Xenopus tropicalis: one gene and its partners. The protein of the gene in region 7 purifies or fractionates together with the protein of the main gene of each other region. This does not show direct contact. Links are inferred from orthologs where the notes say so. Each region holds a gene or a part of one and is shown on either strand. Other genes may lie near its edges. The genes, in order: sp1, rps3, aurka, spag9, ikbkg, copb2 and nfkb1.

Region 1 (3,991 bases), on a different chromosome or scaffold from region 7:
TTAATGGTGATGGACTCAGTTACACCTTTAGGGCTCTGGCACATGGGGAGATTAGTCGCCCACGACAAAACTTCCTGTTCGCGGGCGACTAATTTCCCCGAGCTGCCTTCCCCTGCCATCCCACCGGCGAAAATGTAAGTCGCCGGTGGGATGGCACACGCGGCGGCGCGATTTAGCACAAATCGCCGAAGTTGCCTCGCGAGGCTTTTTCGCCGATTTGCAGGGGAAGGCAACTCGGGGAGATTAGTCGCCCGCGAACAGGGAGTTTTGTCGCGGGCGACTAATCTCCCCGTGTGCCAGAGCCCTTACAATCTAATAAATACAGCCAGGACTGTTTTCTCAAGAAAAGGCATTCATTTTTTATTGAGCAATATATTTCTATTAATGATAGGACTGACAATGCTTTACTGGACTGGCTGCTTAATAATTATTGATATCAATTTGGAAGAAGTGGCCCAATAAAGAAAATAAGCCTTATATATTGTGCTCGGCTTTATGTAACCTATGTCACTTTTTTTTATTGTTGTAACTCTGATATTTATTCTAAACCTGCTATTTTCTATGCACGACCCGTCCATCATTCCCTCTCTGTATTACAGATAATGCGGCCCCTTTAGTCACGTAGCCACTCAGTCGCAACTCCGACTGCTGCCATCTTGCTTCCTATTTGCACGTAGGCTGATGCCGAATAAAAACGAATACTTTAATAGCTGTGGCCAGTTATTCTAAATAATTAAAGAGCGACATTCTGCAATTCCAGCAAATGGCGCCCAAACCCTACAACGACCAGTCAAACTTTAATTTCCCTTCCCCTCCTCACACAGCTCTTCAATTGCTTGCTTTTCTCGTATGATTCGTCACTTAATGAAACGCCTTGGACTTCGTTCGATTATGATTGGCCCTTTTCAGTGTCACTCTAACCTTGGGAAGGGTTCAGACTAGAGAGCCACCACCCCCGCCACATTCTTTCATCTCCCTCCCCCATCACACACCGCCTCCGTGGCTGGGCGGGGTCACTCCACCTCTAATTGGTCAGCCTTCTCTGTCAGTCTCCAGCTAACTGCACCCACCGCGCCACCCCATTGGGCGGGTGGAGCCGCCCCTCGGCGGGAGTGGTTAGGCGGTCTGTCGATCTCCGCCCGTAGCCCCGCCTACTCACCGTCTCCGCCGCGCGGCAGCCAGGTTAGGTTGCCATCGTCAGCCGAGGTTTGTGTGAAGTACCTACGGCCCCAGAAACAACATGAGCGGTAAGCAGGAGAGTGGGCATAAGGGCGGGAGGTAACGCGGGTTCGCAAGCTTATCCCAGAGCCCCTCCTGGCTTGCTCGCACGCAGCTTGTGTGAGGGATCGCTCCCCCTGGCCACTTTGTGGGCTTTTTGCTGCGCGCCATGACTCGCTGGCGGAATGCTGAGAGCGGCCGGTACCACCGGAGGAGGAGGCGGGGGTGTAGAAATAAAGTCATATCCGCCCTCACTACTTCGTTCGTTCTCCTTCCTCGCCCCCTTTTTACTTTTCCCTATAACTGGAGAGGTGGTTGTGGCGGTAGAACCCCTCCCTGCTGTCCTCCTCTCCCGCCCTGTTTTTCTGCCCCCTTCGGTGGGTGGGGTAGAATTGTAAAATTGCCCCCCGCCCCTCCTAGCATGGTAGCCGGTACTTTTCGTGACACAGGGAAAGGGCAATACGTGACCCTAAAATGTTCCCCGGAACCCGTTGCCTTCGCCTATAATGTGAAGCCTGCGGCCCTCCTTCTGTAGCCCCCCCTGCCCAGAGCAATCCTTGCCTCACACTGGGGATATCTGCCCCTCTGGCGCCCAAACACTCCCAGTATCCGTAGCTGTGGGGTATCTGTAGTTCCCCTGAAACCATTATCCGCCCTCAGCTCGGGCAGTTTCACTGACATCGTATGGATGGGAGGGACCTTCATCCGGTAGATCCCTTCATTAACCTGCTGAACGGGGCCGCTGGGAGTTGTAGTTTGCCTCTGGAGTTGCCATTACTCGCAGGTGAAGCCTATGTAGACCATTTATATTTATTTGTAAATCATTTTACTTCTAGAACGTACTCCTCTACAGAGGGTTGTGGGAGTTGTAGTTCCACAACAGTGCTGCTAAGGCTATCTAGGCTGATAGATGGGAAACATGTTTGTGAGTCTCTTCACTTCCAGTATTGAGAGGTTTGTGAGAGTTGTAGTTCAGCAGTCTGTTTCTAAGCTGAGGGGTTTGTGTTTCTCAGGGAAGTAGGGCCGGCCATGTTGTAAGCCTGTGTGTGCATGTTTACTCACTGCCCTCACTCACACACTCTCTCTCTGTGCTTGTGCCCTTCGCTGACAGCAGATCAGGAGCACACGTCCGATGACATGCCTACGATAAAGTCCGAAAACCGGACAGGAGGTGGATACATCCAGAAGGGGCAGGTAAGCGGAACCCACCCATATTGCATTATACACAGATAGGCAGGGACCATGCCTGGGAACTATCCAGCCCTCTCGCCTTGGCTGCCTGTACACTGGATGAGCATGGGGGAGGGGGGCTGAGGCCTTTTTTTTTTTCCTCCTTTCTCTTTGAGAATGGCTGCTGTCCTCCCACCCTTTGGCTGGCAAACCTCCCACCCCCTGTTCCTGACTGCCCACTTGGGGCAGGCCCCAGAAACCCTTCCCCCCAGCCCTGTCCCTCCTGTTCTCTCTCTGGCTGTCTCCTTGACATGCTGGTTTGTTTACATGCTGGCACTCTTTGTGCTGTTGCTAATACTGCAAATGGCACCTAGGACATAGCCGTAGAAGGGTTAAATTGACATTCACGTTCAGTCTTGCATCTTATTGGCAGCTACATTTTTAATTAAATTCAGCAACTGCATCTGCTGCTTCGGCTGGTGGGGGCCGAGTGTAAATGGCAGTTAGGGTTAAATCTGCTCAGATTTGTAGCAAAGGCTGGAAAGGCAATGCTCCACTAAATTTCACTGAGTGTTATTTTTGCTATTGTGCAACAATAAAATATCACTTACAGCACACACCCAGTTTATTCCATTGTGGGTAGTACTGTCTTTGTACCAACACCCACCTAGGCATGGTTATCTCTGCAGCTTGTGCTGTCTTAGGCCATCGCAGGAGGTGGCGCCCCCAACTGATGATGTTGGATATCTTCCCAACGCTGAACCATGTATATGTAATAGAGTGCTACAGCTATAGAATCCCTTATCCAGAAAGCTCTAAATTGCTTGCAGACCATCATAGAACTAAGTTTAAAGGGCACCTATCACCATTTAGTTTCTTCCCGCCACCAGAGGTGTAGGCTTTAGAGCCCGCATTCTGGAAAACAATAGGTTTTTTTTTTTAAACAGCCCCCACGGGCGGCCATGTTATTTAGCGTGCATGTGCATAATGAGCAAGACTCCTCACTCATTGTGCGCAAATGTGTGACGTAGGAGCAGCACACACACACACACATATATATATATATTATATGTGTGTGTGTTTCCCCCAACCAGAGTGCGGGCTCTATTAGCCTGCACCAGGATGTGGGGAAAGCAATTCGATGTGATATTATGCTAATAATACTAATTTATAAAAATGATTTCCCTTTTCTCTGTAATAAAACAGTAGCTTGTAATCGATAGTATCTTAGCTGCATAAATCTGGGGCAAAACAATTCTTTTGTGTTTTGTATAGTGATGCAAATTACTCAAATCCCTTAAACCTAGGTCCATGCATTCAGGGTAATAGGTCCCATTCAAAGCTGTTTGTTTTTTTTTTTTTTGACAACAAATTTTCTTCCATTATTGACTTTCCATTATATTTATTATTTTAATGTAAAATAAGTAATACTGTGTGTTTTTCCTGGGAATGCACACTAACATGCCTGGGCAATGACCCACCTGCACCATTACCTCTCTCACTAACATTGGGGTAAGCTAAGGCTAATGCCACACGTAGCATATGGTGCATTGGCCTGCCTTCTCCTGTAAGGTGGTCACTCTTTCTACCATCTTTCTGTGTG
Region 2 (4,152 bases), on a different chromosome or scaffold from region 7:
GGCCAGGCACATTTGCAGCTGATCCAGCCCTGACTTGTCAAGCAATGCCCACCACCAACTACTCTGCCTTTTATTATAAGGTATGGGGGGTAGTGGGTTGGAGGAGTGTGGGTGGTGTGGTGGGGAAAGGGGGCTGTTACAGGGGCCCTTATGTAAATAGCACACTCCTACCCTTTAAATGCTCTGTAGTTAATACGGGCAGAGAGATCACTTACCTCAACACTCCCTTCAGGGAATCCAAACCTCTTCTGAACAACTGCAGTCAGCTCACGGATGCGCCTGCCCTTCTCACCCAGAACATTTTGGGTTCTGCATGTGGGAAACGGAACGGAGTTACAAAAGCAGCAATGCACACAACCAAACACAAGCTGTTCTGGAAGGGAACTATTTGAAATTGTGGATATCCCCATAGTGAATATCACTGCCAGCTTGCTTCGCCATATATTCTACTTATACCCACAATCCTGGGAGAACTGTGTATTAGTCTTCTGGAAGGATGATAAACCCTACGCAGCCATTATCCTACCTGCAGTAAATTCTAATGCACAGTTTCTAATCAGGATAATAACAGGTCTTGGCTTTGTATCCTATATATCATATCTATACGTCACCATCACCAAAATGAATGCAACTACAGATAATGTGAGATAATATAAAAGTGATTGAAATAAAGATCCAACTTGTTACCTGGTAGCGAGAATGATGATTTCAGTCCGGGTTGGGGTGACTCTGACCTCTACACCGGAGTAGCCATCTTCAGCCAGCTCCCGAGTAAGGAACTCATTGAGTTCAGCCTTGAAGATGCCGTCAGCGACAAACTGCAAAGAGAGCCATTAATTAATATACAAATGTCACTAACTCCTCGCACATGTCCCTTACCAATAACACCTGCCATTTGCCCGATATATATATACAGTTCCATTAGTGGCACTCACCCCAAGTCTCCCCCTAACTGGCCTTCAGGCTGGGCCCCCTTAGCCCATAACAAGGTTACAGATATATAGAAACATTGGGGTAACAGTCACCCCGCTATAGTTCCAGGGGTACCCAGGGCACAAATAAGCACTCACCCCAAATCCCCCCCTAACTGGCCTTCAGGCTGGGCCCCCTTAGCCCATAACAAGGTTACAGATATATAGAAACATTGGGGTAACAGTCACCCTGCTATAGTTCCAGGGGTACCCAGGGCACAAATAAGCACTCACCCCAAATCCCCCCCTAACTGGCCTTCAGGCTGGGCCCCCTTAGCCCATAACAAGGTTACAGATATATAGAAACATTGGGGTAACAGTCACCCCGCTATAGTTCCAGGGGTACCCAGGGCACAAATAAGCACTCACCCCAAATCCCCCCCTAACTGGCCTTCAGGCTGGGCCCCCTTAGCCCATAACAAGGTTACAGATATATAGAAACATTGGGGTAACAGTCACCCCGCTATAGTTCCAGGGGTACCCAGGGCACAAATAAGCACTCACCCCAAATCCCCCCCTAACTGGCCTTCAGGCTGGGCCCCCTTAGCCCATAACAAGGTTACAGATATATAGAAACATTGGGGTAACAGTCACCCTGCTATAGTTCCAGGGGTACCCAGGGCACAAATAAGCACTCACCCCAAATCCCCCCCTAACTGGCCTTCAGGCTGGGCCCCCTTAGCCCATAACAAGGTTACAGATATATAGAAACATTGGGGTAACAGTCACCCTGCTATAGTTCCAGGGGTACCCAGGGCACAAATAAGCACTCACCCCAAATCCCCCCCTAACTGGCCTTCAGGCTGGGCCCCCTTAGCCCATAACAAGGTTACAGATATATAGAAACATTGGGGTAACAGTCACCCTGCTATAGTTCCAGGGGTACCCAGGGCACAAATAAGCACTCACCCCAAATCCCCCCCTAACTGGCCTTCAGGCTGGGCCCCCTTAGCCCATAACAAGGTTACAGATATATAGAAACATTGGGGTAACAGTCACCCTGCTATAGTTCCAGGGGTACCCAGGGCACAAATAAGCACTCACCCCAAATCCCCCCCTAACTGGCCTTCAGGCTGGGCCCCCTTAGCCCATAACAAGGTTACAGATATATAGAAACATTGGGGTAACAGTCACCCCGCTATAGTTCCAGGGGTACCCAGGGCACAAATAAGCACTCACCCCAAATCCCCCCCTAACTGGCCTTCAGGCTGGGCCCCCTTAGCCCATAACAAGGTTACAGATATATAGAAACATTGGGGTAACAGTCACCCCGCTATAGTTCCAGGGGTACCCAGGGCACAAATAAACACTCACCCCAAATCCCCCCCTAACTGGCCTTCAGGCTGGGCCCCCTTAGCCCATAACAAGGTTACAGATAGAGACATTGGGGTACAGGGCAATAATAGTGAATAGGAGACAGACAGACAGTAATACAGGGGTAACTTACACACAAATAGTTGGTACAGAGAGTCTCATTAACCCTATCTATACCAACTAGGTGTAGCCAATAGGAAACAGACGTTCCTATCTCAGTATCACAGTCCCACACACATACCCGGCTTGCCTGGGGCCAAACAGCGCGCAGCCATGTCAGCTCCGGACTCTCAGGCCCGACTCAATCTCCATCCATCTACCCCGCAGGCACAGCCATCTGCCCGCTCTATGCTTCCCTGCACCCTCCGGAGCCCCCTGGACCCAGCGCTAACTGTATTGCCCTACAATGTCCCACCGCACACTATAAAAGAGCGCTTTTTTTAAGCCTACCTTCCTCTTCTTAGAGATCTGCACCGCCATCTTGCGAAGCGCCGCTGGAAGGAAAGGGAGGCCACTTCCGGCGGAAGCTGCTATATACCTAGAGTGTGACAGGAAAGTGTGCGTTCAGCGCGCAATGCCCCACGGGATATGTAGTTTTAGCGCATAGGAGTTTCACCGGTGATTTTTGCGTAGGAAATTGTTTGCCGTAGGGGAAACATTTTGCAAAAAATATTGATTTTCTTGAAAATGTGTTCCCAAATTTCTAAATTTGCCTTTCTTAGTAGTTGGTACTTTATAGATATATCTCAACAGCTCTTGTTGTACTACAACTCTCAGCCAAACAATGTACGCCTAACACTTCCTGTACTTTGCCATTTAGTCGTCTGTCAGCAAAGTGCAATAACCACTCATGTAAAGGGTTAATATAATCAGAAATAATAAAGGCCGATGGCTCAGGTAACATTTCAGTCTGCAGGAAGCACTGTGTGCCATCTCTCATGTAGATACATGGAAACTGCCTGTCACCTCTGAATGTCGGATCTGGTCCCACTAGGGACCCCCCTTGCCCCATTCTGAGGAAGCCCTTCCCCCTTGTCCAATCATATAGGGCCCCCCACCACTGGCATTTGACAGTTCTCCAAAGGTCCTTATAGAAATAAAATTTACTTCAGGAAGATTAAAAAAATGTTATATTTACAAATTCATGATATTTTTCAGTTATTTGTGAATGTAATTACTATTGAAAGTAGTATCCCTCTTGCTGTTGCTGTTTATATTATCTGCCATGGTGGTTCTGACTCCTGAAACTATGTAGCAGCAGGGCAGATGATTAGCAGTCCTGAAGAATATCTGACTTGGCCCTGGGGCCAAACAATTGAATAAGAATGCCGGCAATAGATGCAGCTGTTTCGGGAACCTCATCAACGAGCCGATGCGGCAGGGCCGGGCCAAGGTATTTTGGCACCCTAGGCAAGGGCTTCAATGAGTGCCCCCCCCTTCCTGATTGCCCCCATGTACCTGTGCCAGGCTGCCAGCAGCCTTTTTATTGCCCCATCATATTGCCCCCATGTACTGGTTCCAGTTGCCATCATAAAGCCACTATGTACCTGTGCCAGCAGCCATTACATTGCCCCATGTATTTGTGCCAACAGCCATTGCCACCATGTGCCTGTGCCAGTGGCCACCATATTGCCCCCCCCATCAGTACTTGTGCCAGCAGCAGCCATCATATTGCCCCCAAGCCCCAATCTGTACCTGTGTCAGCAGCCATCATATTGCCCCAAGCCCCCAATCAGTACCTGTGCCAGCAGCCATCATATTGCCCCCAAGCCCCAATCTGTACCTGTGTCAGCAGCCATCATATTGCCCCCAAGCCCCAATCTGTACCTGTGTCAGCAGCCATCATATTGCCCCCAAGCCCCCAATC
Region 3 (2,504 bases), on a different chromosome or scaffold from region 7:
GGGTGAGTGCTTATTTGTGCCCTGGGTACCCCTGGAACTATAGCGGGGTGACTGTTACCCCAATGTTTCTATATATCTGTAACCTTGTTATGGGCTAAGGGGGCCCAGCCTGAAGGCCAGTTAGGGGGGATTTGGGGTGAGTGCTTATTTGTGCCCTGGGTACCCCTGGAACTATAGCGGGGTGACTGTTACCCCAATGTTTCTATATATCTGTAACCTTGTTATGGGCTAAGGGGGCCCAGCCTGAAGGCCAGTTAGGGGGGGGATTTGGGGTGAGTGCTTATTTGTGCCCTGGGTACCCCTGGAACTATAGCGGGGTGATTGTTACCCCAATGTTTCTATATATCTGTAACCTTGTTATGGGCTAAGGGGGCCCAGCCTGAAGGCCAGTTAGGGGGGGGATTTGGGGTGAGTGTTTATTTGTGCCCTGGGTACCCCTGGAACTATAGCGGGGTGATTGTTACCCCCAATGTTTCTATATATCTGTAACCTTGTTATGGGCTAAGGGGGCCCAGCCTGAAGGCCAGTTAGGGGGGATTTGGGGTGAGTGCTTATTTGTGCCCTGGGTACCCCTGGAACTATAGCGGGGTGACTGTTACCCCAATGTTTCTATATATCTGTAACCTTGTTATGGGCTAAGGGGGCCCAGCCTGAAGGCCAGTTAGTGCAATATCCTGGCATTTCTGAGATCTGGATCTTTCCATTTTGCTTCTCTTCAGGAGGACCACTCTGTGCGGAACCCTGGACTATCTCCCTCCTGAGATGATTGAGGGCCGAATGCACGACGAGAAGGTGGACTTGTGGAGCCTGGGAGTCCTCTGTTATGAGTTCCTTGTAGGGAAACCTCCATTTGAGACTGACACCCACCAGGAAACCTACAGACGTATTTCAAAGGTATCTTTCTATATCCCCCTTAGTACTCCCACCTCCGTGCCCAACATACGGACAGGCAGGGTGCTCCCATCACTGGGGTGAGGTGCTTCACTATTATAAATATCAGTACTGATTCCAACTAGACTGGCTATGGTCAAACTGGTCTTGTTACCACTAAATCTGATGGGGGGGTCTAAATACAAACATGACATATTTAGTGCTGCGCTTCATACCCCTTCCCAGTATAACCCCCCCTCCCAACTGCTTTATTTTCTGCAGGTTGAATTTCAGTATCCTTCGTATGTATCGGAAGGAGCCAGAGATCTCGTATCGAAGCTGTTAAAGCACAACCCAAACCACAGGCTGTCCCTGAAGGGGGTTCTCGAACATCCGTGGATCATAGATAATTCTGCTCAAAAGCCCAAGAGGAAAGAGGGGCCGGTTACAGGGGCTCAATAGGAAATCCCCTGTGGATCTTTACTTTCCCAAATGTGAGAAGGCACAGCAATTTGCACCTGCTGGATACCCCCCTGCCCTGTTTAATGGGGGGGGGGGGGGGTCACAATCTGGCAACTCACAGCTCAGTATTTGCTTATTGACTCCAACACAAGGCAATGTACCATGGAACACTCACCGCCTTGCGTGCCTTTTGTGAATGGGACTAGACTGCCTGATCTGGAACGACGGGTTCTTTAAAGGGGCCACGAGGCCCGGTGCTTTATAACTTCTATCGTCACAAACCACTGCTCTGCTACTGGCACAGGTTCCCTTTACTATGGATGTTTAACCCCAGATGCGGCAGTTATAAAACTGTATACGCACTGACAACTAAAATCTGCCGGTTCCGACACCACTGATTGATTATACAGAGATTGTAAGGTTTCCTTGGCCGGTGCAATAGTGATGTGAATGCCTTGGGTATATTTATTAGGCTGCTAATATGGCTGTCCCATTACACAGCTGCTCTGAATACTGAGAGAATGAATTCAGTGTAAATACCTATTCTGTATCAACTTATATCTCGTCTGTCCTTTTATGTGTTAACAACACTTTTTAGAAAAGCATAAAAATCTGTTCTAAGATGCTCCCTTTTCTTTCTGTGTTTTAAAATAAAGCTGATTGAAAAAGTTACTGCCAAACGGTGCCTTTCTCAGTTAGGGAATGGGTGGCAAAATGGGCTGGTACCCCGAAATCCATAGATTCCAATGGGGGGAAGAAAGAAGGGCAAAGACATGGGGCTCCCCTAAGCAGGAAGATGGTACATTACTAGTCTGACACTAGCCCAGATGGGTCAGTAAGCATAGAGCCATGAAGGTTATTATAGAATAGGCTGCCTACAGGGCTACTGGCACTTTATTGTGAGTTGGAAGCCTGCAACATGACTGTTACCCCAATGTTTCTATATATCTATAACCTTGTTATGGGCTAAGGGGGCCCAGCCTGAAGGCCAGTTAGGGGGGGATTTGGGGTGAGTGCTTATTTGTGCCCTAGGTACCCCTGGAACTATAGCGGGGTGACTGTTACCCCAATGTTTCTATATATCTATAACCTTGTTATGGGCTAAGGGGGCCCAGCCTGAAGGCCAGTTAGGGGGGGATTTGGGGTGAGTGCTTATTTGTGCCCTGGGTACC
Region 4 (3,500 bases), on a different chromosome or scaffold from region 7:
TGTCTACAAAATCAGGTGGATGACTCTACTGTATCTTTCAAAACACTGTCTACATTCAAGTAGTCAGACTTGCCAGGGCTGCAAAAGTGCTCTGAATCCCAAGTAAACACCTACAGTGGCTACAGCCGTGCCCATACTGTCAGCCACTATTACACCTACATCTTCTGCATATTCCCCAACCCAGGAAGACTTTGTGAAGCGTATACAAGTTTATAAGGAGCCACCTATTGATCTGTGGGGGCTTTAGAGAGCATAAGCATCATTTTACTTACTATCCATTTTGGGCTCCGAGCCACATTGTAGGCAGCAAGCTGTTCATTTTTTGGGCTTCCTCTCTCATCAGGTCTTGTTCAGTTGGTAATGTGGCAATGCCATCTTTATACAGGTCAGAGTCATTGCTGGGGGTGGAAGAGAGAGGTTAAAAGGAAAATACAAAGATCTGCATTCTAATTCCAATGCCACTTCCTAATGACGTAGTAGATGAGATTAAAAAAACACACACACACCCTGAATTCGGGGCATCCCTAATGTCTATCAAGTTCAACCTGTTGCACTTTACTTAGCAATGGATGATAGCCATACTTAGATCAGTGCTGGCCATATTCAGTCCTTACCTAGGCTGGTAGCCTGTGTCCTCTGTTGTGGTCTGTGCCCCCAGGGGATCGGTGAATACATGCTCCGTATAAACCCCTGTCTGGGAAATGTCAGCCAGATCATCGTTGGAGCCAGTTCCCACTTCCGTGTCCTCTGTGGCTTCTTCTGCCGTGGCCACGTTGTCATCCAGTTCCCGGTCTGTGGAATCGGGATCTGGAAACACAAGAATAGCAATGTGTTCCTGGGTTTAGGATCAAAGAACCTTGCAAATCCTGAAGCAGTGACTCAAATTGATAACCCGATAAAGGGAGTCACAGTGCCACCTAAAATATTTAAACATAACTAAGCTGGCAAGCACTATCATTTAAGTTGCCCCCAGAGGCAAGAGACCATAGCAACCAGACTGCAGTGGCAGGGAATAATGTTCTAGAATTCAATGCAATAGCAAACCAAAAGGAATGGAGAACTTGTCCTTTAAAAAAGTGTATATCCACACCTTGACTGACTTCCTCCTCAGCTGGCAGGACGCTTGGCGTTTGTACAGCACAGGGTTCTATGTCCTCCAAAGATGCCCCTCCCACTTTGACTCCTACTGCAACGTTCTCCGCCCCCGAGGACCCGCTGCTCAAAAGACTTTCAGACAGCGACGTTTTATCAGTTTGGCCTGTTTCCGATTCCGGCTTTGATGATTCTCCTGTGGGGTAATCGGTTTCCATAGCCCCTGAAATCAGTGAATAATGAATTACAAACCTGTAATAAAATTATTTAAACATGCAAATATAGTTCAATTTCCAGTGGAGTAACTAGTCTGCACCCCCCCCCCCATAGTAAATTGGTGGGGGAATGGTGAACAGAGACTCCTACCCGGCCTTTACCAACAACCAAGTTCCCACCCAAGTCCCTCGCATTCCCTTTCCCTGGAGAGCAGTTGGAGAGGTGGGATTTATTGGTAACTATAGAGAAAGCAGACCGGGTCACCCTGCCCCCGACTACAGGGTCTGTAACCATAATTACCTCCCGTATATATATTATATATATTATATTATTAGGGTTTATCTCCCATCCTGCCTAAATCAGTCATAGGCATCACCAGAAAGCAGGGCTGCAAATTAAACAGTGCCTTTCATATAAAAGGTTTTTAATGGTGTTGCGATTCTAAAATAATTTTCTACTTATCACACCTGGAATGCTTGCAATACAGAGGACGTGAGAGTTACAGACAATGAAACTGTCCAGCATGTTCCCTGGGTCATTGGCATCCACAATGATGACCTTAGTGGAGGAATGAGTGCTGGTGCAAATCCATACAAGGCTCGATAACTCGTCCTGGTGCCGTAGTTCCTTCTGTTGCACCTAGGAGTTATAGAGGGGGTGGAATGAGGCCTGATTGTCAGCTTTCAGGGCAAAAATAACTGTCAGGGACAGACAGCACTTTTGTTTGCACTGAGGAAAGAAGTTAGATTTAGGAAGCACTTAACATTGTACCTTAAGCTCCTGCTCAAGTTTATCCAAGCTGCTCTGAGAGTCACTGCGGGGTTTTTGGTTGTCTAGTTCCGCTCCGGGGGCGTCGCTATAGAAAACGCTGGCACCAATAATTGAGCCTCCATCTCTTGTCTTTCCGCCAGACAGGTTGACTCCCACTGCACACCACAGCTGTATATGAAATAAAGATAAAATGAATACTGAGGACACAGAATAGACCTACATGGGAGAAGTCGTCCTGCTTGTGCTACATACAGACTGTCAAACGTTATTCATACACAAAGCCTTCTAGCAAGCACTTACCTTCATGGAAGTATCTTTCTCGTCCAAAGGCCTCAGGTAAACAGGGACGGGAAGATTCCTCATTTTGCTCTCGTTCTGTCCTTCACTTGCCACCTAGTGTATCAGAATAGCACACAATTCCAATGACTCCATATGAAAGCTGCTGAAGCCACTTGCTGTTTAATGCTAGCAAGGTAAGAAAACACTAAAAGTTGAACAAACTATATCTAGCTCAGCCCTCTCTGCTTGTGGGCTCAAATTTAGTACTGAGGCACGCACATTTACACAATGAAGTGCATTATTAGGCACTAATAGGCTTTGTGCCCCCCTATGTGGGCCAGTCTCACACGCGGTACAGGGTAATACATTACCGGCTTATATTTTTGTGGAAGACTCCAGCCGAACGCCTGCACCCGCCCATCTTCCTTCTGTACGTGTGCCTTCACTTGCCTGTACTGCTCACGCTTCTGTTCTCGCCGCGATGCCAGAGCCACTTCACTCCCACTAGAGTGGCTGCAAATGAATGGAATGATCCGTATTGAAATACGTTTAAAGGAACTTTGAGCAAGTAAGTTATCACTGCTAATGTCAGGGGGTAGTCTGAGGGTCAGAAGCTGTGGGGATTCGGACAAATGAAACAAAGGAGTATTTCAGAGGCACATACTCATCACTGAGGAAGTCAAAGGCTTTGGACTTGTCGGAGGGAAGCTTAGCGAGAGCGCTGCTCTTCTTCTTGACGGATGGTGTGATATGTGAGGTCGGCGCATTGTACTTGAGGTTCACCGGAGTGTCTGGCTTTTTCGAGGCGGTGGCCGAAGAGCTGAACAGTCGGCTGAAACTGATACAGGATGAAAGTAGCATGTAATTCAGGGAGGTGTCCAAACTGCCGCCTTCCCTCTATTCTACTCTACTGCCCCCCTCAGGCACCGTCCAGTGGGTGGCTATATATACTATCAGTAAATGCATTACCAAACAATGATCATTTGAATCAAGTCAAAGTGAGTCTGCCCAGCTTGGTAGATAGTGCTTACATCACTGATACAGCTAAGGCAACTCTTTACTGATCTACTAAAAAAAGATACAGGATTTGATGAAGTGTCTATAGCAAGAGCAAGGGATAGAATTTTACACTTACAACTGCC
Region 5 (4,161 bases), on a different chromosome or scaffold from region 7:
TACCCTAGAAACCTGGCAGTGGTTTGAATAAAAGACTGGAATAAGAGGAGTCTGAGTAGAAAGATAAGGAATAAAAAGTAAAAAAATAACAATAAAATTGTAGCCTCACAGAGCAATTGTTTTTGGCTGCCACAGTCAGTGACCCCCATTTAAAAGCTGTAAAGAGGCAGAAGGAGGGCAAATAATTCAAACATTAAGAGAAATAAATAATGGAGACCAACTGCAAAGTTGCTAGGAATGGGACATTCTATAACATACTAAAAATCCACATAAAGGTGAACAACCTCTTTAAAAGTAGCTTTTCATTTATAGCCTACAAAGGCATTTAGGGAACCTGAGTTTCAGAGACTACACTGAATATACAGGGGTGGAAATTCCCCATGACACATGGGAAAATCCATAGGGCCAGTAAAAATGTTTACCCCACCCCAAAGGCTAGTTATTTGGTAAAACCAGACTGTAAACCATAGTTACCTCTACTAATAGAAAAAAAGAACATAAAAACATAAAACATTATAAACAGATATAGACATCCAACCATAAAGCAAAAGTAAATAGGAAACGGTTTAATAGAAACCAATGACCAGTTCTGAATACCAGAGAAAAAGGGAAAGTCCTGATGACATCACATAGTATATTGGCCAATTATATCTCTCCCATGTTATCAGAAGGAATAAGGAAGTAGTTGTGAATGTTATTGGAGAGACAGCGATAAGAAGGAAGCAAAGAGGAATGCAGCCCAGGTGATCAGTGTCTGCTGTTTGGGATCAGAGCAAAATTACATAATTACAATATGGGATTAAAGGACAATTAACACCAACATTTAATTATTACCTTTCTTACTTTTTATAGTGTCTGCATATTCTGGAGCACTTAAAGAGATTATACATCATTTCCATTAGTTCCTGCCCCAGTGGAGTTTACAATCTAAGGTCCATTTCATATTCCAATCAGCCCCTGCCCAGTGAGCTTGCAATCTAAGGTCCCTATCACATTCTCATCAGTCCCTGCACAGTGAGTTTACAATCTAATGTCCCTATCATATTCCCATCAGTCCCTGCCCCAATAAGCTTACAATCTCAAGTTCCCATCAGTCATTGCCCAGTGAGCTTACAATCTCAAGTTCCCATCAGTCATTGCCCAGTGAGCTTGCAATCTAAGGTCCCTATCACATTCCCATCAGTCCCTGCCCCAGTGAGCTTACAATCTAAGGTCCCTATCTTATTCACACACATTAGAGTCAATTCTATCAGAAGCCAATAAACCTGCCTGTATGTTTTTGAATGAGGGAGGAAAGCAGTGCAGAAAACAGAGAAACTCCTTGCCGACAGTGCCACCTGCACCCTAGGGCACAGCACTGCCCATAATTCCCTTGTTGCTGTGTGCATGTATATATGCCCCTTTATATAGTTTACCATAAAATTATTTGGACTGCTTTGTATTGCAATTGCAGTCTGCCAGACTATCCTCTGACCCCAATATAATGCAGCTGGTATCTCCATTGCCAATGTGCAAGTGGGCAAAAGGGGCAGATGTTGCACCCCTGTAAATCCAGCCATTCACAACACTGCCTATGCAAGCCGACTAACATAACCTGACCACCAGTGTCCACATGACAGGCAGGCTTAAGGTGGCCGATTGTAGCTGCCGATATCGGTCCCTTAGACTGATTCGGCAGCTTATCGGCCCAAGTAGGGGCACAAACGACAGGCCTGCCCGACCGACATCTGGCCTGAAATCGGTAGATATCAATCAGGCAGGTTAAAAATTTTAGTCAGATCGGGGACCGCATCGGCTTGTTGATGCGGTCCCCGACTGAATTAGCCTGAATTCACCCGATATTGCCCACCCGTAGGTGGGGGATATCGGGAGAAGATCCGCTCACTTGGCGATCTCGCCAGGCACTTTTAGAAAATATGCACTGCATCTGCGCCACACACACGCAGTTGGGTCTATTTTTGGCAAACCTAACGCAACTGTAGTAGATGAGTTGCAATTGTGTCAAGAGAATCATCAATTTGTGATTGCAATGACCCCGTAATTCTGGAAAAAAACAGTGCACTGTGGGTAAATTCCACTTTATGCCCTGCGTTTAGGTAAGTGAATGTGACCTATGGTGTATACAAATGCTGCTACTGACAGCTTGCTGTCTAAGCTCTCCTCCATTCCAAATCTCCCTGATTCCCCCTACACTTCACATCATCAGGTACAATTGGTTTTTTAGAGGTCTTTTCATTAAAATAGAGCACAATCAGCTGACTGTCCGACATACCCTATTGCTATTCTCTACACTGCTGGTTCTGACAACTGAAACCTGCATGAGCAATGACTATACACAGGAAGGGATACATACAGCTACCGAGTGCATTTACAAATAGCTGTAAAATCAGTGAAAACGTTGAATGCATGTATGGGTTAGCTGCTTGTGATGTTCTGCTATGGGTGCTGGATCCGACACCCATTCTATTAGTATAAAACCACTTTTAATTACCTACTGTGCAGTAACGCTTAGAGTCTCCACTCACTGTCTCAGGGTCGGCTTCCTCCACCCATTCCTTGAACAAAATGAAACTGAAGTCCAGGTTCTGTCAAGACACTTACCAAAGTGTTTTTGTATCGCTTCCGGGTTCGCTTTCCGTAGATGGTCCAACCCCAGGAAATGAGGCTCACGCTGTTTGACAGTATTGTCGGAAGTGGGGCAGGAGTCCTAAACCGGAAATGAAGCATGGCATGACTGCATTGGATTAGAAAAAAATGTAAGCGGTAAAATGTGCCAATACTCTCCTGATGGCGACCTTCGGCAACATCCCCTCCTTTGATTGGCTGTTTGCCGCTTTTCTCTGTTTTCATTGGGGAACCGTGCTCATGCGGCGCACCTCATGGCGGTGAATGACGCAAGCCACGCCCATGTGGTGGCTAAACCATTCTCTGATTGGTGGAGCGGCGCCGGGGCTGGGTGTAACGCTACAGAAGTAGGCAGAGATGGGGAGCAGTCCCAGTGTGGGTGAGTGAGGGGGTGGATCTCTCACCTGGTGTCAGTGTTCCAGCACTAGAAAAATGTGTGGAAACCTGTTCTCTGTGTGTGTGTTAGTTATAGCGTGTGGGGGGTAGCGGCTACACGAGTAGCACACAGCCTGCTTACACGCTCCGCAGCATGCTTCTTTCAATGGAGAAATTACTGCCATAGAACTGCCACACGCGTCTCAATTAGAAAACCAAATCTGTTAGTGTTCTAGAGCGATGAATCCAGCTGCTAAAGCATTAGGTTTCATATACACCTGTATATATGCATGTCAGGAACCCTGAGCTATATTCTACTATAATGGGATTTTACCAGGGGCCACATTATTCTATATAAGTATCAGTGGGTGGTGCTGTGAATGACATCACTAAGTGCTGATTATAAACAATGACATCACTAGGTGCCATATCTGTATATGAATATTTTTACAGGTTAATCATTGCTCTTGTATGTGTTTAATGTGTGCGCACGTAACTCTGAAATTCATATTGGATCTATGTATATTATATGTATGTATAAGTGATCCATAGTTGGGAACTGTTCCTAATGACCAGGCACTGTGCCAGTTGCTGACCAATTGCAGCATTTTGTTATTCCAGTGATAATAAAGCAATTTTTATGGTTTTCTCTTTCATTTCCCTGCAGAGTCCTCCCTCCTGACCCAAAAACACCTATGTACCCCAATAGGCAGAGGAAGTCATATATATGGCAGCTGCCAACCCTGCTGCTCTACTCTGCCTTAAATCCTGATGTACGAGGAAGCATAAGGCTGGAACTAGGGCTAGGCAGCAGGGGCATGTGACTCAATCACAGTTGGGGGGCACAGGCTGGACTGGCATTCAGGGCCAGAACTAGGGGTAGGCAGAAGAGGCAGCTGCCTAGGGGGCAACGATTGAAGGGCGCCAGGCAGGAGCCTCTCTTGCCTACCCCTAGTTAGTGCTCCATTTTCATTACCCCTGCCGCGGTGGGGGCAATGAACTTTCACATCGCACCCCCCCGCCAAAACACACGGGGGGTGCAATGCAATAGTGCAGGGACTAGGTGGCCACCCGGGTTGCCTTGGGTGGCCGGTTGGCTCAGTCCACCCCTGCTGGCATTCCAAGTACACAGAGGCCCAAACAGCCCCCACCAGCCCAATA
Region 6 (3,500 bases), on a different chromosome or scaffold from region 7:
ATTGCTAATTCTATAGATCCACCCCTCCAATATAGATATAGGTGTGTGTTAGTTCACCAATATTAGGAAATGCTATTGGATGGAAATAGTGGTTTCCTGCTTTCCTTGGTACTGTTTGAACCACAACTTACAGTGAAGGCGGATTCTGATGGATCAAATCCCTTTGCTTCAGACAAGATATTTCTCTCTTCGTTTGGCTAAAAGAGCAAAAATTAAGGATGTATTATTACTATACATGTATGTACAATGCATCACTCAGCCTCTGGTTGTCTGCTATCTAAGATTTACATATTTATAGAAAACTGGTGACAAATTTAGGGATGCTTTCTAGAAGTTGAATTATATTTTTGATGCAAAGCAAAATAACCATATTGGTTAGGGAGAGAGGGAACAAACCAAGCCCAAGACAAGCACTGACAGCTTTCTTAAAACAGAAGGTATTTACAGCGCTGTGGAATATGTTGGCGCTTTATAAATAAATGTTAATAATAATATTTGCATGCCTAATGCTACACACATAGCACTACCTTAAATCCAAAACTGAAAGGCTTTGACCATCACTTATGGCATTATAGGCAGAGACATGCAAAGGATTCCTTAATGTCCCTGTGGCCAACTATGCACCCAGAACTGGTTTAATAGCATGGATACAGTCTAATAGTTCAGACCCATATATCCAAACTTGCAGATAGCCTGTCTGGCCCTTCTTAGATCTCAAGAGTTAGTTTAATTTGAGTAAATTGTTATTCAATTTGAATATTAAACTAAATGGTATGAATATTCTGTTTACAGTCCTCCCTATTTTGTTTGCATTGTTTATTAATAGTCTGCACAACCTTTAACTCTCTAAATAACAAATGGTGCTCAGTATTCACACAGACAGCAACAAGAGGTCCTCTTTACTCACCCTTTATCAATATATATAGTACATTAAGACATTCAGTGCATTAAGCTACCAAGTAAAACAGGGATTGTTTGTCCATATATTGCAATATATCTGAGCTGGCCAATTACGTCAAAGTCATCCCTGGTCTGGCCAGTCCTACACTCACTTTCATCTGATTCATTAAGAATTCTACTGCTTCATTATACATTTAACAAAGACATTATAGTAATACAAACAACTATTTTTGTCAGTGATGACAGGCCCAATACAAAAAAAGGACTGGGCTGTGCAGAGCTTGAGATCTGCCTTATACATGTACCACCAATATTAACACTGTACAAATAACTGCATTCAGGTATATCCCAGTTACTTACAGTCACATGACGATATTCCTTAGCTGGAAGCAGAATGCCCGAGTTCTGCTTCAAAAATGGTTCTGCCGCATAGGCTTCCCTTAGACCAGGAAAGAGATTTTCGTATGCAGTGGGGTCTGCCAAAGAGTCTGCTGCCTTCTGATTGACCTTGCCTAGGCTCTCTTTCCATAATTTTACCACCCTGAAGAGTGCACAAGAAAAACATATCTGAAATATACACTCCCTGATTCTTGACATCATGCTCCCCCTTAAATTACTGAAAAAATGTAAGGGTATGTTGTTTGCAACCCAACCCTACATTTTGCTGTCTAAATATCCATAGAGAAGCAAAGATTTCTGCCCTTCAACTCACAGAATACCTGAACTGCCTAGGTCATAACTCACTGGTATAACTATAACAAATATAACATCTTATACATTATTACCTGGACACCTGACTTGGCAGGTAGGTTCTTGCCAGAAATGCTGCCTCGGGCAAGCGGCCTGTAGAAATGAGCAGCTCCAAGCAGGAGTCCAATCTAGAAATGAAATGCTCAGTAAATTAGGATATAAATTGAAAATATTTTGTAATACAAATACAAGCAGATATTATTGGTATTACGAATATTTGGTTCATGAATGCGATTGTAAGCGCTACGGGACAGGGACATTCTTCCTCGTCTCTAAGACCTATCACTTAACCTTAATGAAATTGTAATTTGTATCACCTATTAATGTATTGTTTTACTGTTCAGTGCTGTTTGTACAAGTACCCTTTACTGGGTCAGGTACCAACACAAAGTGGTAAAGACTGCAGCAAAACAACCCAGACCACCATACCATGGCGGCTATTAGGCACTGTAAAAAAATAAATACAAATATTGAGCTACCCAGGGATTGGGACTGTAGGCCCCTGAGAAAAATAAGGCAATGCAATTAGCAGAACTGGGAAATAGTGAAGGATATACTTTAGGGAAAAGGTATAAATGAAGGCAAACATTGTTGCATACAAAATAATGAACTCTGTAGGACAAGTAATTCAGAGCCTCAAGTGATTTCTCTGACACTGTCAGGGACAAAGTTACCAGATTTTAATGTTGTCATGACACCGGACACCACTTACTTCCCCAGTAAGAAATAGCTTAGGAAAGCTACATTGTTTTTTCCATCTTTCTCTGCACCTTCAGCCAGCTTGTTCACCATGGTGGCATTCCCTGAAGAGGTGGCGAGGAGTAAGAGCCCACCATAGTCCTGGGCACTGTGTAGGCACTCCTGAGCCAATCCAAACTGACATTTGCTGATGGCCAACTCTGCCAGCTGCTTCCACTTCTGCTCTGACTGTTAAGGAAAAAGGCAGAGAATTGTAATCTGTCCAGTAAGAACCAAAGAAACTCTATATAAAGCTTCCTACAATAATCACTGCCATTTATGTCTTACCTTACAATTAACTCTCTTTAATGTAGGTAAAGGCAGCCGATGCAGGTGGGCAAAGCAATACCCCAAGTATTTAAGATCAAAATAGGATCTGGGATTTTTAAAAACCCACCTTGGAATAATGTAATTATGGATTTAAAAAATGCTGTGATAGTGACCAGTACAACTAAAGCCACCCAGTCAGCAAAGTGTGGTTACTTTACCTCTGCTTCCACAGCTAGCTGATAGGCAATCTTAAGCTCTCCCAGCTGAAGTGCTAGCTCAAACCGATGTTCAGGATCTGTGGACACAGCCAAAGCCTGTTGTTTGAAACCCTGTTCACAAAGAAAAAGATAAAAAGTCAAGCAGAGGGCCCCTGACACTGTAGAGCATCACCTCCCAAATACTAACAGAACTCCAGTCACCATTTGCCCAGTCTTTACCTGTTTTTCCAGGAAGTGAGCAACCCGGGTCCTCTGCTCTTTGGGGATAGTTGGGATTACTTTGTCAGCCATGCTGAAGTCTCTTCTCATGACAGCTGTCTGATATTCCAAGACTGATACAAGCAGTGAGTAACTGACGATATTGAGCTCCTTGTCCCCAAGGTAGAGGCGGTTATCTTTGGGAATGTAACCAAGCAGGTACATGGTTCTGAGGAATGAAAAAAATAGCTTAATTTTTTTGAAAATGATATACATACTGTATTTACTAATGTATTTCTATTGTAATCAGAAGATCCAAATAATGATGTTCTTAACCTTCTCACCAGATCTCCTATGCAGCAAAGTTACTCACCTATCTAAGTGTGCAATAGTAACAATCTCTCCTCCCACATAGTAGTTGAGTCT
Region 7 (4,048 bases):
ACCCAATAGGACTCTTTTGCCTCCAATAAGGATTCATTATATCTTAGTTGGGATCAAGTAAAAGGTACTGTTTTATTACTACAGAAAAAAAGGAATAATTTTTCAAAATGTAAATTATTTGCTTATAATGAAGTCCATGGTAGATGACCTTCTTGTAATTCAGAGCTTTCTGGATAATGGGTTTCCGGATAAGGGATCCCATACCTGTACTACCATTATGTAATACACAACTCAGTCTCAGTATTCAGCCCTTTTAAATTGTCCTTGGTTGTTGGAACATTTCCCATGAATTCTAAAGTTTATTAGTTACTCTAAAGTTGACCATTAAGATAAAACTATGATTTTCATATATCTGCAACACTGAAACATTATTTTTAAATAATATGTGAATTTTGCAATACATTTTGCAAAGTAATTAATAAATACAGATAAAGAGAGTTGTCTGTAAATGTATAGCTATTGTCCTATACCAGATATAAGGCATAAGACTGATTATTTGGTGTACTGTATATAGAACAATGAATCATTAACACAAAAGGGGTCATTTATAAACTCAAAGGTAGGGTGCAAAGTGCAAAAAGATGGTGAATTGCACCCTGCCTTTCAGTTTGTAAATGACCCCTTCTGTGTTAATGATTCATAATTCTATAAACCGAACAATCAGTCTTACAACGTTCATCTGGTATAGGAAAATATCTATACATATACAAACAACTTTAATCCAGACAGGCCATGTGTTCAAAGCAGTGGGATTTTCATTTAGGGTGCCATCTTTGCCATACATATATGCTGCCCTATGCTGCACAAACAGGCAGCATAGGGCAGGCAGAGTATGGCACACACAGGCAGCATAGCGCAGGCAGAGTATTGCACACACAGGCAGCACACATTGCATCTTTATGTTCAGTTACTCCCATTCATTGCCTTGGGCCTTAGGTTTACTGTAAAAGGAAGGCAAAGAAGCCAGGCGGGTAGGCCAGCATTGTGCTGCTTACTCCACACACCTGCAATGCCATTCCTATGGAATAAAGTAGCATGGTCTCTGTGCTGCCCAAGGTACTAAATGTTTATTGTACAGTCAGGACACGTGTGCAAAAAGGGAAAGCTGACAATCGGCGACAGAGAAAGAGAAAAATACGCATAGAATAAAGTTGCATCGTGTTACTCTCTGGCCTCCCACCGGTCGAAGTGACAGCAAGTGGGAAATTCCAGGCAGGAAGTGAGAACAACAGCTACTTCTTCTCTATGATGGGCAGAAGAAGCCGCACAAACCCCTCCAGCGGGGAGGAGGCGAGAGGCTGAGCCCGCCCCGAGCAAAGAGAAAACAAGGAAACTGAAAGAGGCAGGAGTGCGGCTGTGCGCCCGGGCTCTCACTTTTCTGCCCTTCGCTGCAATGGACAGCTAGACAGGAGCCTGCTGAGGAGGTGTCATTCATTATCTGGCTCGCACGGCAGCGCGTCCTGTCCATCACCAACACGCAATTCTTTGCATTACTGCGGCTGTCACTCATTTACTCAATCGGGAAAGACGGCCAGTAACTATAACCAGTGCAAGGTAAGAAGGAAGCTGATATAGAAAACCTTTGCTTGCCTGATGATGGGTTCCAGTCACTGAGTGCCAAAGTGCATTCATCGGAGCTGAGCTTACCCTGAGGCACTTCCTTGTATGCCGGCGCACATGTGCGCAATATTGTGCCCCCCGGGATTCCTGCCCCCTGTGTTGGAGCCTACCAACTGGGCAGCCCTGCTCTAATGTTACACTGCTTTAAAGGCAAAGGTTGTGCTTAATACAGGGGGAAATCATTGATACAGCTCAGAACACCTCTCTTCCCAAGCCTCTTACACTTCTACTTCCTTGTGATTCTGTTTCCCCAACGGTGATAGGGACAAGAGTAATCACTCAGTGGGTGTGAGCAGTGTCCATATGTGCTCTAGAAAAACTGTCAGTGATGGAAGAAGCGTGATGCTTGGGGTTAACACACAAACTGCTCATTGGGAGCCTGGCTTTTGTACCATAGATGCTACTTTGTATGAACAAACAACTGCTGAATTTGTATCAACAAAAACATCTTCACTGAATCTTGATAAATTACAAATCTTTTCTGTCTGCAGCTTTCTTTTTACCTATAACATTTGCTGCATCTTTGTGTTACATTTAAGTGAGAGTGATTTGTAAAGCATTACTCTCTTTTTAATAAGGTAATGCAAGATAGACAGAATAGACTGGTGTAGTGTAATATGAGGCCTTTCTTTGACTTTTGAACGTTTGCTTGCATCTGTTTTGGTCCAGGCTCCTCAGATTAGCATCTACTAACTTCTATCCATTAGGCTTTCTCTAAAATAAACAATCTCAGCTATACTGTATAAAAAGAGTAATAGCATAGATATTAAGGAATAACAGTTTATATTCACAAGTTATGTGTCACAATAGAAATATTCTGCAAGTAGAGAGGACTGGCAACACTGAGCTTAATGTGATGAAAATAATATTGTATTTATCATAGCATGAGCAGCCAATGTGACGTTTTGGCCCCCCTAAGGACCTTACCCATTTAATTTTTCTCTTTAATTATAAAACAGTACCGTGTACTTGATACCAACTAAGAAATATTGAATCCTTTTTGGAGGCAAAACAATCCTGTTGGGTTTAAATAATATTTAAATTATTTTCTAGCAGACTTAAGAGATCCCAATTACAGAAAGACCCCTTTTCTGGAAAACCACAGGTCCTGAGCATTCTGGATAACAGGTCCCATACCTGTATTATTTAGGTTATTCAAGGCTTTTGAGTATTATGAGGATTCTTAACCTATGGATCAGGACCCAGAATAAGGTTCCCATGCTGTTTTGGGTGGGCCTCCATAATTCTTTTTACATTATGAAGAATTTTCAGATACAGGTATGGGATCCCTTATCCGGAAACCCATTATCCAGAAAGCTCCGAATTACGGAATGCCCGTCTCCCATAGACTCCAATTTAATCAAATAATTCAGAATTTTAAAACTGATTTCCCTTTTCTCTGTAGTAATAAAATAGTACCTTGTAATTGATCCCAACTAAGATACAAATAATCCTTATTGGATGCAAAACAATCTTATTGGATTTAATTGCAGTTTTATTGATTGTTTGGTAGACTTAAGGTATGGAGATCCAAATTACGGAAAGACCCCTTATCCGGAATACCCTTGGTCCCGAGCATTCTGGATAACGGGTCCTATACCTGTATAGAAAATAGAAAATTGCAATGAAAACAAGGCAATTTTTTCAGTAACAAAGCTGATTCAGCCATGTCATTTGGGATTTCAGACAAAAAGTTCAAGTAGCACAGGATCTAGTTTATATATCAGTGAAATAAAAAAAACTCTTCTGTCAGCTATATGAACTGGGAGACGTATTAAAAAATCTACCAAATATCTATTACACTTATATACTGTATTTCTATTAGCATACCAGTATTGTGTCTTACCTGGCCAGTCTTTATGTTTAGACACACAACTTGCTAAATATCAATTTATTGCAAATATTGTATTAAGATCAAATATGATGATGAATGGTTGCTGTAAAGGGGATCTCTGCCTAAAAAACCTTTTTGTAAAATGATAGAAAACTTAATTCTAAGCAAACTTCCAATATACGCTGATTAAAAATCAATGCTGTTAATTGCTATTAAAGCAGTATTTCTTTATTCTTTTCTCTCTGGCTCTGGGTTTCAAGAGTCAGAACCAATAGTGCATAGAATACAGTAGTACCCCCATTTTACGTTTTTCAGGGGACCAGAAAAAAATGGTGCAAAATCTGGAAAAATGGAAAATCAGGGAAGTTTATTATGTGTTAAATATTAGTTGGACCACAAAACAATGGTGTAAAATGCAGGAAAACTTAAAAACCACAAAAAATTATTAGTTCATGTATATTTAAAGTTGCATAGAATGGTATTTTCTTTTCTATTGTGTTGTTGAAAACACTTTCAAATTAAAGAGTAGGCACGATGAGTAAACATCAACTGACTGAATGCTGTTTTGTTATGTGCTTACTCATCATCACCTAT

The links.
Region 1: the proteins of nfkb1 (region 7) and sp1 purify together in Homo sapiens (affinity purification with western blotting, with the first as the bait; 3 studies listed by BioGRID). This does not show direct contact. The link is inferred for Xenopus tropicalis from reciprocal best matches to the Homo sapiens genes NFKB1 and SP1.
Region 2: the proteins of nfkb1 (region 7) and rps3 purify together in Homo sapiens (affinity purification with western blotting; 3 studies listed by BioGRID and IntAct, with this or other methods). This does not show direct contact. The link is inferred for Xenopus tropicalis from reciprocal best matches to the Homo sapiens genes NFKB1 and RPS3.
Region 3: the proteins of nfkb1 (region 7) and aurka purify together in Homo sapiens (affinity purification with mass spectrometry; 4 studies listed by BioGRID and IntAct, counting the BioPlex papers as one, with this or other methods). This does not show direct contact. The link is inferred for Xenopus tropicalis from reciprocal best matches to the Homo sapiens genes NFKB1 and AURKA.
Region 4: the proteins of nfkb1 (region 7) and spag9 purify together in Homo sapiens (affinity purification with mass spectrometry; 5 studies listed by BioGRID and IntAct, with this or other methods). This does not show direct contact. The link is inferred for Xenopus tropicalis from reciprocal best matches to the Homo sapiens genes NFKB1 and SPAG9.
Region 5: the proteins of nfkb1 (region 7) and ikbkg purify together in Homo sapiens (affinity purification with mass spectrometry; 4 studies listed by BioGRID and IntAct, with this or other methods). This does not show direct contact. The link is inferred for Xenopus tropicalis from reciprocal best matches to the Homo sapiens genes NFKB1 and IKBKG.
Region 6: the proteins of nfkb1 (region 7) and copb2 purify together in Homo sapiens (affinity purification with mass spectrometry; 5 studies listed by BioGRID and IntAct, with this or other methods). This does not show direct contact. The link is inferred for Xenopus tropicalis from reciprocal best matches to the Homo sapiens genes NFKB1 and COPB2.

The regions. Positions count from the first base shown.
Region 1 is NC_030678.2:146,984,287-146,988,277, reverse strand, and holds the start of sp1 (transcription factor Sp1), read left to right. Parts: upstream 1-1,191; 5' UTR 1,192-1,240; coding exon 1,241-1,247; intron 1,248-1,554; exon of another isoform or gene 1,555-1,902; coding exon of another isoform or gene 1,903-2,002; intron 2,003-2,329; coding exon of another isoform or gene 2,330-2,332; coding exon 2,333-2,412; intron 2,413-3,991. UniProt on the Homo sapiens protein: Transcription factor that can activate or repress transcription in response to physiological and pathological stimuli.
Region 2 is NC_030678.2:172,182,969-172,187,120, forward strand, and holds the start of rps3 (40S ribosomal protein S3), read right to left. Parts: upstream 2,801-4,152; 5' UTR 2,766-2,800; coding exon 2,736-2,765; intron 819-2,735; coding exon 688-818; intron 310-687; coding exon 216-309; intron 1-215. UniProt on the Homo sapiens protein: Component of the small ribosomal subunit. The ribosome is a large ribonucleoprotein complex responsible for the synthesis of proteins in the cell. Has endonuclease activity and plays a role in repair of damaged DNA.
Region 3 is NC_030686.2:6,094,793-6,097,296, forward strand, and holds the end of aurka (aurora kinase A), read left to right. Parts: intron 1-719; coding exon 720-894; intron 895-1,152; coding exon 1,153-1,332; 3' UTR 1,333-2,004; downstream 2,005-2,504. UniProt on the Homo sapiens protein: Mitotic serine/threonine kinase that contributes to the regulation of cell cycle progression.
Region 4 is NC_030686.2:46,700,446-46,703,945, reverse strand, and holds part of spag9 (C-Jun-amino-terminal kinase-interacting protein 4), read right to left. Parts: coding exon 3,494-3,500; intron 3,197-3,493; coding exon 3,023-3,196; intron 2,872-3,022; coding exon 2,730-2,871; intron 2,473-2,729; coding exon 2,380-2,472; intron 2,248-2,379; coding exon 2,080-2,247; intron 1,948-2,079; coding exon 1,776-1,947; intron 1,316-1,775; coding exon 1,091-1,315; intron 808-1,090; coding exon 615-807; intron 399-614; coding exon 273-398; intron 1-272. UniProt on the Homo sapiens protein: The JNK-interacting protein (JIP) group of scaffold proteins selectively mediates JNK signaling by aggregating specific components of the MAPK cascade to form a functional JNK signaling module.
Region 5 is NC_030684.2:25,684,779-25,688,939, reverse strand, and holds the start of ikbkg (NF-kappa-B essential modulator), read right to left. Parts: upstream 2,801-4,161; 5' UTR 2,602-2,800; exon of another isoform or gene 2,492-2,601; intron 1-2,491. Other genes in the region: g6pd (glucose-6-phosphate 1-dehydrogenase), read left to right, coding at 2,983-3,004. UniProt on the Homo sapiens protein: Regulatory subunit of the IKK core complex which phosphorylates inhibitors of NF-kappa-B thus leading to the dissociation of the inhibitor/NF-kappa-B complex and ultimately the degradation of the inhibitor.
Region 6 is NC_030681.2:128,419,605-128,423,104, forward strand, and holds part of copb2 (coatomer subunit beta'), read right to left. Parts: coding exon 3,448-3,500; intron 3,304-3,447; coding exon 3,096-3,303; intron 2,988-3,095; coding exon 2,877-2,987; intron 2,578-2,876; coding exon 2,363-2,577; intron 1,779-2,362; coding exon 1,686-1,778; intron 1,442-1,685; coding exon 1,261-1,441; intron 198-1,260; coding exon 132-197; intron 1-131. UniProt on the Homo sapiens protein: The coatomer is a cytosolic protein complex that binds to dilysine motifs and reversibly associates with Golgi non-clathrin-coated vesicles, which further mediate biosynthetic protein transport from the ER, via the Golgi up to the trans Golgi network.
Region 7 is NC_030677.2:73,654,988-73,659,035, reverse strand, and holds the start of nfkb1 (nuclear factor NF-kappa-B p105 subunit), read left to right. Parts: upstream 1-1,248; 5' UTR 1,249-1,554; intron 1,555-4,048.